4 separate regions of the Mus musculus genome follow, and all the other regions are reported to be linked to region 1. The links are microRNA targets in miRTarBase. Many come from high-throughput screens and were not tested one by one. Region 1 holds a microRNA gene; each other region holds the end of a gene's coding sequence.
What was found. Region 1 holds the annotated microRNA mmu-miR-883b-5p (UACUGAGAAUGGGUAGCAGUCA, at 2,295-2,316, shown strand). A microRNA usually pairs through its seed, bases 2 to 8, with sites in the 3' UTR of a target mRNA and lowers its output. Matches are read on the target gene's strand: a 7mer-m8 pairs with bases 2 to 8, a 7mer-A1 pairs with bases 2 to 7 and ends in A, and an 8mer does both.

Region 1 (3,184 bases):
TTATAGAGTTCAAGATTATAAAGATTGTGAGGTCATAAAATATCTGGGGTAGATTTTGTTGATTTTTCACTTTCTTCTGACAGATGTGACTAGTTTGTTCTTCTGTAGCAGGCTCTAAACCTGAGTAAGACTTCCAATTGTTCCTTTACCTTGGCAGCTTGCATTGAAACTTCTGATATCATGAAAGCCAGTCCTCAGAGAAAAAGTCTAGGCCAATATCATCTTTATTCTTCCAAATCCTGTTTCTGAAATGTGAGGTGCCTTCTAGAATAGGGTTTTACTTTGAACTTTGGGAGGAAACCAGTTGTCTATTGGTTTGTTGGTCTCTTGGATCTGACCTGTTAATAAAGTCAAGCTAAGAAAAACTAAATTGGCACAAGGACAATTAAACAAGGCAAAAGACATGACCATGGTTATAATTCCAGAAAGGAAAACATGATCAAGCTTTTGTTCTTGGTATTGACAAGCATTCATCTGAAGATTGTACAGGTAAAAAAACCTGCTTTCAGAAAGATGAATGGTGTAGGGATATGAGTTTATTATTCTCTAGAACTTACAATTAAATCAAATCAAGGTATAAATATCTTGTTTTACAAATAATGATGGGATATCTGAAGGCAACGATTTTAATAATGAAGTTTCTGCAATTTAACATGAAGTTTCACATCAATGGCATTCCATCTATGTTGGATTCCTTCATGAGAAATAGATGTAAGTACTTCTTCTCTAGATGAAAAAAATGCTCACCATATTCCTCATGAACTTATTGTAGCATCTTGAAGGTAAAAATATAATTCTTGGATTTATATTTAACTGGGCAGTTGGATTATATTTAGTGTTTTCTCAGTTTAGCTCATCTTGCCTCAGCGACTATATGAAATTCAGTCGTGAAGATACTTGATGAATGATTCTTCAATGAGTTCATGTTTCCTCTGGGAACAGCCTATGATCTCAGGAACAAGAATCTGCACCTAGACGCCAGTTGCTAGGCATAAAGTTTCATGTGGCCTATTACTTCAAGAGACAAGAATGGTAGAATATGCCAGTGGTACAGTGTAAGCTACCTGGCATTTAGTTTCTCATGCCTCTAACCTCAGTATGGTTCTAACGAGTAAAAAACACCAAATGTCTGTCTTCATGTGATCCCTGAAACCCGAGGCAGGGATTACCTTCATGCACACGTACATAATTTAGACCATACTTACCACTTGGGAATGGGCACCTAACTGATCAGGGGACTTATCCTTAAAAAAATACTAGCTCTCCCTTAGCAGCCTGAACTAGATATGGGAATTATGGACCCTTCCTCAATCAGTCTTTTGCAAATCTTGTACGAGCAACCATTAACTGTTGAAAGTGTGTTGGTGAAACAGCCTTATCATGTACAAAAGACAGTAGTTTACACTTTGACAAGTTGTGATTCTTTATAAAATAGCCTTTTGTCTTATTTAAAAAACAAAAACAAAAAACTTTTGCTGGGCAGTGCATGCCTTTAATCCCAGCATTTGGGGGCTGGTTGGGGGGTGGGCAGAGGCAGGCATATTTCTGAGTTTGAGGCTAGCCTGGCCTACAGAGTGAGTTCCAGTATAGCCCATGCTACACAGAGAAACCCTATCGAGAGAGACAGAGACAAAGAGAAAACAACTTTTCATCAGAACTGTGAGTTGCACTAATCAGTGAGTATAAGCTAAGCACATATAATGTAAAAAACCAAAATGAAATCAATCTCATCTCTCTGGTTTTGACAAAAATTCAGTGGAACAAGTGTTAAAGGAAATGCTTAGAGGAAAAAATATGGAGTGGTTGAATCTTAGGGTCTTCGGAATATCTTTGTAACTTACAGGTATTGTAATACATTGTGCTTGTAAGATTTTAAGTGACTATAACAAATACCTATCTCCTTCAAGTCAAGAAGACTATATTCCTCACTTGATCTGTCTTTGGGATAGTGATGATTTCATTTCTGTAGGTAATGTTGAAATCGTTTTTTCCATATGTAAACCTTTTGTATCTAATGACCTAGGTAGTCTTTGTGTTTTCAGTTATTCATATCATGAGAATATAAAGTATAAACTATATTATATCAATGTAATGTAATAAAAAGTCATGTGAATGGTTTATAAATCACTTGCTTCAGAAAGCTAAATGGAGGTAAAGAAGATTATAATTGCTCTTATCTTAATTGTGAAGAAAGAAATTTATTATATATGTATACTTGATAGTCCAAAAAATTGTAATATCTTTTAATTCTTTCAGACTTAATTTCCTCACTCAATATTCTGTGTGCAATGCATTACTGAGAATGGGTAGCAGTCACTTTGTACTATGAGTAACTGCAACATCTCTCAGTATTGTAAGGTTCAACAAATACAAGGGTGGTAGCCACATGGACATAGTCTTCACACAGTGGATGAGTTTCTTGATTTCAAGATACATTGCAGTCACTTTAAAACAGACATCCCCATGATAGATTTGTTGTTGCTTTCATAATTTTAATTCTAGTGTTATATGAATATGAAACATCTTAAGATATATTAATATGGAAAATAATAACATAATAATGAGTTTGAAGTCTTGGAAGTAGGGAATGCTATGAGAAGAATGTGTAGTGAAGAACAGTAATTAGTTACTCTCTGAGTCTCAGGAAATAAGATTAGAATGTGTTTTTAATTTAATTTATGTTATAGTGATAAAGTATCCTGACAAAAAAGAAATTTAGCAGGGAAAGGATTTATCTCAGCTCATGATTCTAGGTTCTAGTTAACCTTTCTGGAGAATTCAAGGCAAGAACTCAAGGACTTTGTCATATCACATCCACAGTCAAGAACAAAGAATAAATACATCCTTGCTTGCTTAATAGTCAGATAGTTTCTATCCCTTTTTGAAAAATTCCTTTATTTACTTTTATTTTATGAATATTTATGTTCCTGCATATATTTATATGTATCACGGGCATGATGGTGGCTTCAGAAGCTAGAAGAAATGTTGAATCTCTTAAATCTTAAGTTGTAGGCAGTAGCAAACTACCTAGTATAGATGCTAGGTACCAAAACTGTGTCTAATACATGAACAGGAAGTTTTCTAACTTTCTCTCCTATCTAACCTATCTCTTTCCAGCCCTAATCCAGAGCTGAGCCTACGAAATAGTGCCATCTGTGTTCAGGGTAGATCTTCCTCATGCAAT
Region 2 (3,184 bases), not on the chromosome of region 1:
TGTGGGGTCACCTTTGACTCCACTGTTGTGTTCTCTGTACGCAGTGTCTTCATGTGTACGTTGTGTCTGGTGGTTTAATGACGATCAGCTACTCTAGGGATACTTGGGTATCTCTCCTTCAGCCCATGAATGTGAACTCTGTGGATCCCATGCACTCAGTGCTTTGTAAGAGCATGTTGGCTGAAGCTCTGTCCAACCATTCACATATGAGCCTGGGGTAGACGGACATACACGTTTTCATTTTATTTATATAGGTTTTGCTGTTTTGTTACAGAAAATGGAGCTGACCCAACAATTGAAACAGACTCTGGCTATAATTCTATGGACCTAGCTGTAGCTTTGGGCTACAGAGGTGGTGAGTATTTTAGAACTCTCGGGTCATTTTAGGAAAGCATCATATATAGGAATGCCAGTGCTCCAAACCGTCTTCATTGCTTTCATGCATAAAACACTGTAGTATTCTAACTCCAGACATAGGCTTTAATGAAGTGCCAAGTAAACAGACCCCGTAAAGCGAAGGGCGGAGTTCACTTATTGTACTTTTCCATAAACTCAGATAGTTACTGGAAGAAAAGTGGACAGTGTTTGCAAGATTTTCAAAAATGTTTTCATTAAAAAATTATATAACAGCATTGCACTGTGTAATAAAAGCTCAGTTCAGAAAACTCGGAAGCTCGGGCAGCGGCTGAATTAGAAGCAGCCTTAATGTCAAGGGTAGCTGTCGCACATTGTCCTCAGATGGCGACAATCAGTCCTAACAGAAATAGCTTCATTGTACAGAATCCCAGGGCTCGGTTGAGCTGACGCAGTGACTTTTGTGTGCTTGCTCTTGTGTCTCTGTGTGGTGAGCTTACTGACTTACCCTTACTTACTGACGTAGTCCAACAGGCCATCGAGTCCCATCTGCTGAAACTCCTTCAGAACATCAGGGAGTGAGGAGACTCGGGAAACGCCCTCTGCCCTCCCTCACTCCTTGGTCCTTAATGATAGTTTTGTTTACATGTAAATTTTTATAGTTTTGTTTGGGTATACATTTTTATCTCAGTTGCAATATTTGCTGGGTTTTAGTGAGTTTTAATAAATATTCCTCTGGATAATTCACTTGTTTATAATAAAATTAATCCTGATGGTTTTTTAAATAAATGTGTTTTACTATATATTAAAATTATTAATTAATGTTTTGTGGCATGTAACCTTTTATGGTACAGGTGGTTGTGAGTCTTTGTATCAAGTAGCACAATTTGACACTTTAAGGAAACTCCAACTTGTTTGTCTTTACTCTTGTATTCACTCTTTTGACTTTGCACAGGGCTTACTGTAAGTGTGTGGGAGGGAAATAATGTTCTTGTGGAATTAAAAAGTACAGTGTGATGGTTTACAAAATCATGTCTAAATAAAATACTTTGTCTGTTTGCATTCTAGCTCTGATTATATGCTTGTCACAGATGTCTTCAGGATTTTCAGTTTAAGTTTCTGTTATGCAAATTGATCAACAAAGACGCCCATCTCTAGAAGTACACTTAGAGTGTTTTTCTCTTACAAGTAGGCTTGAGAAGGAAAGTCGTAAAAGAGAAGCGAGCTGCTCTTTAACCCTGCTAGAGGAATGTCATTAACTTGCCTCTTACTAAAATCCAGAAGAGGGAACCATGGACTAGAGAGGAATTGAAGAACTGTGAGGGTTGACTGAGGTAAATTCATCTGAAAAATGGCCGTTATATCAGTGGTAAACCGTATAGCCTCGATCTGGGGAACACGAGAAAAAGAGAAGTAAGGGGAGCAGGAAAGGTGCCCTGGTGCTTGAGCGCGGCTGCTCTTGCAGGAGTGGGGTTGGGGTCCCAGCACCTCCATGGCAGCTCACTGATCTATAACTCCAGTTCTAGAGGACCCAGCAATCTTCTGCATGCGTGTGGTGCCCATACAAACATGCAGACGAATACTCATACACGTAAAATTTTAAAGCGCTATGTTACAGGTAATGCTGCTCTATGCAAGTGGGTTTTGTCTGACAGGACCACACACTGCAGGGTAGGGTGGGCTCTCTACAGTCACTTTGACCAGCAGAGCAGCAATATACTCAAGAGGCAAGAAGGCAATTCAGTTCAGTTCAGCATGACTAAGTAGCCAGTGTTGGTTCAAACTTCGAGAGTCTGACCCCAAGTAGTTTATTTTAGGCATATTTAAGCACAGCACAATTTGTTGAAAACTTTCTTGGTGATAATTCAATCCACATGCAAAATAAAGCTTAAGCCATGACTTCAGACTCTTTGTAAAGTATATGTGACATCTTCTATAAAGATGCGTTCTATAGATGGCTACACGCGACACCTTCTGTAGGTTCTATAGATGGACAAGCTCACATACAGGTCTGGAAAAGGAGAAGGATAGTGCAAAATGTCACCAGGTCATTTTATTAACCATGTGTGTGTCTTCCCAGCCTCCTAAGTGGATAGCTGGAGATGTAGCCCTTCCTTTGAGAGAACAATCCTGTGTGTTGACCATTCCAGCTGACCCATAGTGCTTGTCTGTGAGCACAGGTTCTCCGCACTTCCCACAACATAGCATAACCCTTCCACTGATAGAAATCAACATGGTAACCAATGAGAAGTCATTAGATCTGGCACCTTATTACTTGGTAATCAATTGAACTCGGAAAAGCAGCTCCCCTAGACTGAGGGCTGTCAGCCTATTGTATATGCATCAGCATCGAGTCGGAGGCTGCTTAGCACATCCACAGAGCTGCTCATTCAAGTGCAAAGGCCACTCACTGGCCCAGAGATCTCACTGTGTGTGGCTCTGGATGGCCTCTTCCTTTTGAGCACTGAAAGAACATGCCTCCTTTGTTAACATTCTTCATCACGAGTCTGGTTTTGTTCAGTTTGCGTGGGCGAGCTCGTGTTTGAACGTGTGGAGCTCAGAGACACACAGGAATCTCTCCTCCCATAGTATAGGTTCTAGGGATTGAACTCAGTCAGACCCTCAGGCGTGACAATAAATGACCTTACTTGCTGAGCCATCTCACTGACCCTCGGCCTGAATGTCTACATTCATACAGCAATTTAACTAGATGAACGACCCAAACCAGCAGGAATAAGGGTCCCAAATGGCAAGATGTTGTTGAAAGGAGGACCAGGAGGCCTTATACAAACTGATGACTTATGCCAAGCAAATGTATTAAGTACAGCAT
Region 3 (3,184 bases), not on the chromosome of region 1:
TTCAAATAAACTTCCACTTACAAAATTATAATTGGGAAAAAAACATTCAATGTCTATGTTTTTTTAGGAAAATTTGAAATTCCCCTTCTGGGTTACTCACTATAAATGGATAATAGTTTGAACTTGGATAAAATTAAAAATCATAATAAATGTAAACCTTAGAGACTTAAAAATATGTTGTTATCATATATTGGTCAAGCTAAAGACATTCTGTTTATTTGAAGATCATTTATTAGTGATGGTAATTTAAGTGGGGCTATCTGAATGCAATGGGACTTTTCTTGTTTTAATGATATATCAATGGGGTTGAATGACTTCTTCTACTCTGTCCTGTGTTATCTAATAGATTTTGGACACTGGGTTAACACACTTATTTTCTCTTTTTTACAGGAATCTTACGTCTGGAAGATGTACCAAGAGAGGTGTTGGGAATTTTTCCCAGCAGGGGACTGTTTCCGGAAACAGTATGAAGACCAGTTAAATTAGCATCATACCTTGATTGTCTCTGAAAACCAAAAGCAATCTCTCTCTCAATCTCTCTCTCTCTCTATCTCAGTCTCTCCTCTCTCTCTCTCTCTCTCTCTCTCTCTCTCTCTCTCTCTCTCTCTCTCTCCCCCTCCCTCCCTCCCTCCCTCCCTCTCCCCCCCCACCTTGGAAACACCTACTCATATTTTCCACTAACCAGCATCTTGTGCTGATGCACGGATGCTCAGTCTCAGAGGACCTGACTGTTCTCCCCCCACCTCATGTATCTTCATTGAGAAACAAAGACCGAAGAACAATCCAAATAAGCATTCAGACTAACCAGGAACTCTGGAAAGGAATTCATCATGGATACTCTACCATAACACCCATGGACAGCTTCCCCTGAAGGGTCATGGAGTCTCCACAAGCTGCCAGACCTGTGCAGCCAAGCACGGCAGTCACACTCACCCAGGCTCTTTATTTTGCCATCCCAGAAGGAAGTGTCTGAGGGTCATAGAGCACTGTAGCACTTAACAGGTTGCCATGCAAAGGGAAATAGTGCCTTACTATAAGTGGGTTGAGCTATGCAGAAGATAATGTGCATGACAAACACCTTTATTTTCTTTACATCAACCTTGTTTTCTTAGATAAAATGGTTTTGTGATTTTGGTTTCTTTCTTTTTTCTCCCCTTTTATTCTTTTCTTTGGTGGAGGAGGGTAAGAAAAGCTATCTGCGCTATTTTCAAAAGAAGGGTGGTGTGTCTCAGGACAGAAGGAGGCTCTTGTCATCCAGCTACGTCACATTTACCCTCCCCACTTTGGTAAAGACTCTGATGCTACATGGCAACTTATGAAATCTTTGTATGAAAAAAGAGACTGCAAAAATACAACTTTCAAAAGAAATAATTCATTGCATGTTTATTATGCAAGTTTAAATGAACAAAGAAAGCCCTCAGAAACAAGTTGATCCACATGGGAGAACTTTCGTGATAATTACATCCGTAGTAACAAAGCTGTGGGCTTCCTCATATTTCTGGAGTCAGTGTCATCCACCGACAGTTGGAACCATCGCCAATGTGACAGTAGTCTTGGGTTTTCCTCTTTCTTTTGGCCACCTGTGATCAGTCATTGGTTAAGGACGCCTTGACAGGCCATCTTTTGATATCCAAGCTGAAGCAATATCCATTCAGAGATTTCATTGGTTGCATCATAAGACATGGGTGACCATGTACATCGATTCATTTTATGTTTTTCTTTTTTCTTTTCTTTTTATCATTTTGAGTCCTTTTAAATGTAATTCTAATCTTTACAATTAAAAAAAGACAGGTTCAGAATGGAAGCGAGGTCATTCTGCGAACATTGGAGATCTTTTATTACAAGTCTGCTTGTTAATTTTAGAATTGTAAAACGGCTCTAATTAAACTATTTAACTAACTTCCTTGTTCTTCTCCTATGTCTTCCTATTTCACATATACCAGGAAATTATAGAATCCCATGCTTTTAATTCAGTTTAATTGTGTATAGGACAAACCCAGACACTTCACAGTCAGACAAACATAGCAGTATTTGTAACAGGAGAGCTGGGTTCACCAGGCACCTTGACCCTTTTCTATCTTATGGGGTAATTCAATGACAACTAACTCTCTTCCCACTTTTAAAATTTTCATACAACTTTCACTTTAAAGAACTCTTCCTTGCTCAGGCAAGTGAACTTTTCCATAATAATTACAACCCACTTAATATCTTAATAGGAAAGAGAAGTAGACCATAAATAAGTAGTTCATAAAACACAGAGATGATGCTAGATCATCAGGGCTATCAGTTATCATCTGTTCAATTATGTCTTATCACATCACCAGAGCTCCAGAACCTGGCTTTTGTGTTTCTCTTTTGGAGTCACTTTTATTTGAGGGAAGAGATAAATCTTGGCACACTGTAGATATTGCTACCAAGCCTTCTCAGAAATGGGACCTTATGTCATAAAGAGTCTGAGCCAGTAGATCTGGTCAGCTCTCTAACACATCAAAGAACATGAATCCCTGTACCATTCTTATTTGAGACAAATTTGGAAGTTAGATTCAGATCTTCTATTTATAATGCCCACATTGTGGTAGACACAAAACAATAGTAAAGGTAAGAAAAAAAGGAAATAAAGTCATAGATTTGTCAAGATCTGTGCACTTTACTGACTGACAGCTCCTCAGAGGTGATAGAAATATCAGGAAAAGAGACATTGGAATTGGTGAAATGAGGGTTCTGTTAGCCAATGGGTGTTGCAAACACATCAGTGTTGGAAGAAAAGTAAAAACACAGGTGGGCTATTTGTGCAAGTCATACCTGTCCAATCACTATTGACCAACACAGCAGGACATCACTGGGAGACCATCCAACAGAAGATGGTAAAATCACTATAGGGGTGCAATGCCTGTAATTTCAACACCATGGTGGAAGCCCAGGGCTGGCCTTACGCTACACAAGTGAGTTCAAGGTCAGCCTGTGATGGGGGAGACTGTCTAAAAGAGACAAAAGGAATTCAACCTTATCAGCATTATTTATTTGCCTAGGAAATATTCAGGGAATCTCAAACACAGTGTGACTCTACCTCTCTGATTCTCTAGGCTGCCTGAGGCGAACTCAGGAGATGTGATCCTGTGAGGTATTTTTCTCATCCCTATGATTGAGTACTGGACACGAAACAAATAATGGAAGAAAGGATTTA
Region 4 (3,184 bases), not on the chromosome of region 1:
AACTTCTGGAGTGTGTTCTCTTACTATGTGGAAATTTAGGAACTACTTTAACGTTTGATAAATGCTTAATGATACAATTGAAACTTTCACTCACAACAGCTTCTTTGCTTGGAAAAACTGAGAAGGAAAAAAAACCCTGTGAGTTTTCTTGACATGACATGTGTACCTTCCAAAATTCAACATTTAAGGGGTTTTTCCATTTTAAGTTCATTTACAAAAGCCTCACGCAAATCAGCTTAAAGGCAATTGAAAGAAGATGACAAATAGAGGCTCTCTTTAAACAGGAGACACATATCAGTGTCCTGGCAGAGAGAATGAAAAAAGACCTAATAAAATAAACGTGTGTTTTACTCATCTTGGGGAGCACAGAACTGGGGTGGGTGGCTGTATGCTGGAAATGCAGGTGAATGCAGATCTTTCCCATGCTAAGTGCCCAGTTATCACCTGCTGCAAATCTTTGGTTTGATAGAATAGATGGATGACTTTGAAAAAAATTTTTAATTTCAATATGACTAATTAATTCAAATAAATGACGATAATCATTTACTTCCTTTGTGTGAGTTAAGGGACTTGGGTCATATTGATTCTATCACTATGTTGGTATTCTGATATGTCCCCTTTTGACCCGACTATGAAATTTAACAATAAATTTTAACTTGCATGTCGGTTTGCATTTTACCTACAGAGTACAACATTTTTTTACTTATGTGTTTAACAAATAAAAGAGAATGTGTTGTATGTTCTTTAAAATTTGTTCCTGCAGACATCAAGTGTGTATGAAGCACTGATGATTTATCCCAAGATAATATAACCAATAAATTGCATAACTAATCTCATTGTAATGATAAGTAAATATTGCCCAACAAACACACATACCGCTTATCGCTCCTCACCCGGAAAGAGGCTTTATTGAACAGAGCTGTAAAATTATATTTTAAGTTGAATTATTGAATTTGCACAAACATTTCTACAGTTGTTTTTAAAAAAATCAAGCTTTGTCATTTCCACTACATTTTTGTTGTGCTTTTTATATTAATATTTGCAAATGCTGCAATTTAATACTTAGATCCCAATTACTTGCATAATCAGTAATTTTTTTTTAAATCCTGGGGTGTTGAAAGAACAGATAATAATAATATTCTTCTTTAGACAAAAGTCTTTTTAAATGAAGTTAAAAGCTGAGATAATTTAAGGAAAAAGATCTTCAAATTGTCATAACCAACAGGTTTAAGTGAAATTTACAATGCATTGGAAAACTGGCTGGTTAAAGTTATGGTTTGTCCTCAGGTAGCTCAAAATCATTTTTACAGGTTTTTGTTTTTTTGTAAAAGTGTTTTTTTTAATCTTGTTAAAATAATAAAATAATATTTCACAATTTGCACAGAGTCTGACTAAAGGGCAGAGGCATATTACCCTCAGTGTTTAGAATAAAGCCAGATTGTTTTCAGGCCCAGTTCCGCGGCAGAGTTTGTATGCACGGCAATCTCAAACATTTCCTCGTTCCCTCTAAAGGCAAAGCCAATCTCATTTGAAATGGAGGTTAGAGTAAAAAAAAATCACTTCTGTGTTTTACCACCTTCTGCGCTAAGTATTATCTCAACAACCTTTTGCTCTGGTTGACCCATTTAATAACCTGGAAGAAAAAAGTGTTGCTCCCATGTCTGGTCTCAATGGAAGTTACTTTCTATGGACATTAAGCCAAAAGGCCATGGCTGTCTAGGAGGTGAAACACATAATCTGCATGGGTTTACGCAGCAGCGTGGGTCCTTTCTTCTTCAGAAGCGGCTAGGGTGTCTTGCCTGTAATTTGCACATTTAGGCTGTGTCGTCTGTTTACAAAATAGTTTTACACAAACCATTGTTAGCAGTGCAAGCTTCTGAGTTGAAAATTATTCAGGCTTGTTTCATTGAAGGCACTTGGTTTCCATGGCAATTTATAAAAGATGGTGGTTTGGTTTCTTCATAGGAACAGATGACGTAGTTTGGGTGTCAAGTGGCCGCAAGCAAACTCCGATAAGCCTGTGTAATATGTAAGCCCAGGTTTACCATCCTGGATAGTAGTGCATGCAAAAAGAGACATCATACAGTTATCTAGCTTAGCCATGTGAGGGAGAAAAAAGAAAGAAAAAAGGAAAAAGAAAAGAACTACAACAAACAGTAACAACAACAAGAACAACAAGAACAACAAGAACAAAACCCAAACAACAGTAAAAGTGGGGTGGGATAAGGCGGGGAGGGATATGAAACCTTTAAATAATTCCGAGTTTGGAGTATTTTCAAGGAAGGGTAACAGCCAAAGGTAAAAGGGCCTACATTTATTTAATTCTCTACATAAAACCTTCTTGAAAGGAAAATAAATGCCAGCTCTCCACGTACCCTGTTTACAGTGAGGTTTTTGTTGGCAGGCCATTAGGTTTCCATGGTAACAAGCAAACTATTCATTTGAAACAAAACCAGCCATGACTTTGTGCTTTGACGAGGATTTCTATAGCTCTTTTTCTTCTTCTTTTTCTCTCATTCTTTCTTTTTCTTTTATTTTCTTTTTCCAGAGTTCAACCAGATGAAGCTGTAATCATTTTAGCCACAAAAGCACCTGAAGGGCTCTTTTGTACCCAGGCCAAGAATATCTTCTATATGTAGTTTGGAATAAGTTATATTTCCATGATGTCTTTTTTTTTAATCCCCAGTGCTTAAAAAAATGTTGTTTTTATTATTTAATTTTTGAGTCAGTAGTCAGTGGAGGAATCTTTGGTAGTTTGTTTTTTCAGTGTCCATTTACAAAGACTCTTTCTTCATGCCAGTGCCTGGTGAATCATTTATAGCCTCTGCCAGGATAAGGTCACCTTCGAGGGCTTAAGATAGAGATGAGGATGATAACTGGAAAAAGCCATATATGAACTAAGATCCCAACAGCACCATCCACGGAATCTAGAGATAAAGAAGATAAGTATCCAAAACTGACATTAAGGTCACAAACATCCCAGGTGGGCGTTCATGGCGCTTCTGTGCCTAAAGAACTTTATTCATGGAAAGCAAATTTGTAAAACTACGTTTTACATCAGATAGCAGCTTTAACTTTCAGGCAAGCAGAAGGCGGAAACAGCCTGGATGTGCAGTTATGAATACGGCAGACACATAATACTGTGTACTTACAAATTTAAAGGTCCTGAGCACGTGAATGACCC

Region 2: the mRNA of Ankra2 is a reported target of mmu-miR-883b-5p. Seed matches in the 3' UTR shown: 7mer-m8 at 1,040-1,046.
Region 3: the mRNA of Ryr2 is a reported target of mmu-miR-883b-5p. Seed matches in the 3' UTR shown: 7mer-m8 at 551-557.
Region 4: the mRNA of Mdga2 is a reported target of mmu-miR-883b-5p. Seed matches in the 3' UTR shown: 7mer-m8 at 117-123.

The regions. Positions count from the first base shown.
Region 1 is chrX:66,789,068-66,792,251 of GRCm38, reverse strand. Mir883b (microRNA 883b) reads left to right here and starts at 2,285; the gene lies at 2,285-2,362.
Region 2 is chr13:98,272,498-98,275,681 of GRCm38, forward strand. Ankra2 (ankyrin repeat, family A (RFXANK-like), 2) reads left to right here. Exons shown (of 8, transcript NM_001271388.1): 8 at 275-1,421. The coding sequence ends at 387. Among named protein-coding and RNA genes, the nearest start is that of Gm21976, 5.7 kb to the right of the region's middle.
Region 3 is chr13:11,551,818-11,555,001 of GRCm38, reverse strand. Ryr2 (ryanodine receptor 2, cardiac) reads left to right here. Exons shown (of 105, transcript NM_023868.2): 105 at 391-1,899. The coding sequence ends at 486. Among named protein-coding and RNA genes, the nearest start is that of Ryr2, 550 kb to the left of the region's middle.
Region 4 is chr12:66,468,677-66,471,860 of GRCm38, forward strand. It overlaps Mdga2 (MAM domain containing glycosylphosphatidylinositol anchor 2), which reads right to left. Exons shown (of 17, transcript NM_001193266.1): 17 at 1-2,927. The coding sequence ends at 2,839. Among named protein-coding and RNA genes, the nearest start is that of Rpl10l, 190 kb to the left of the region's middle.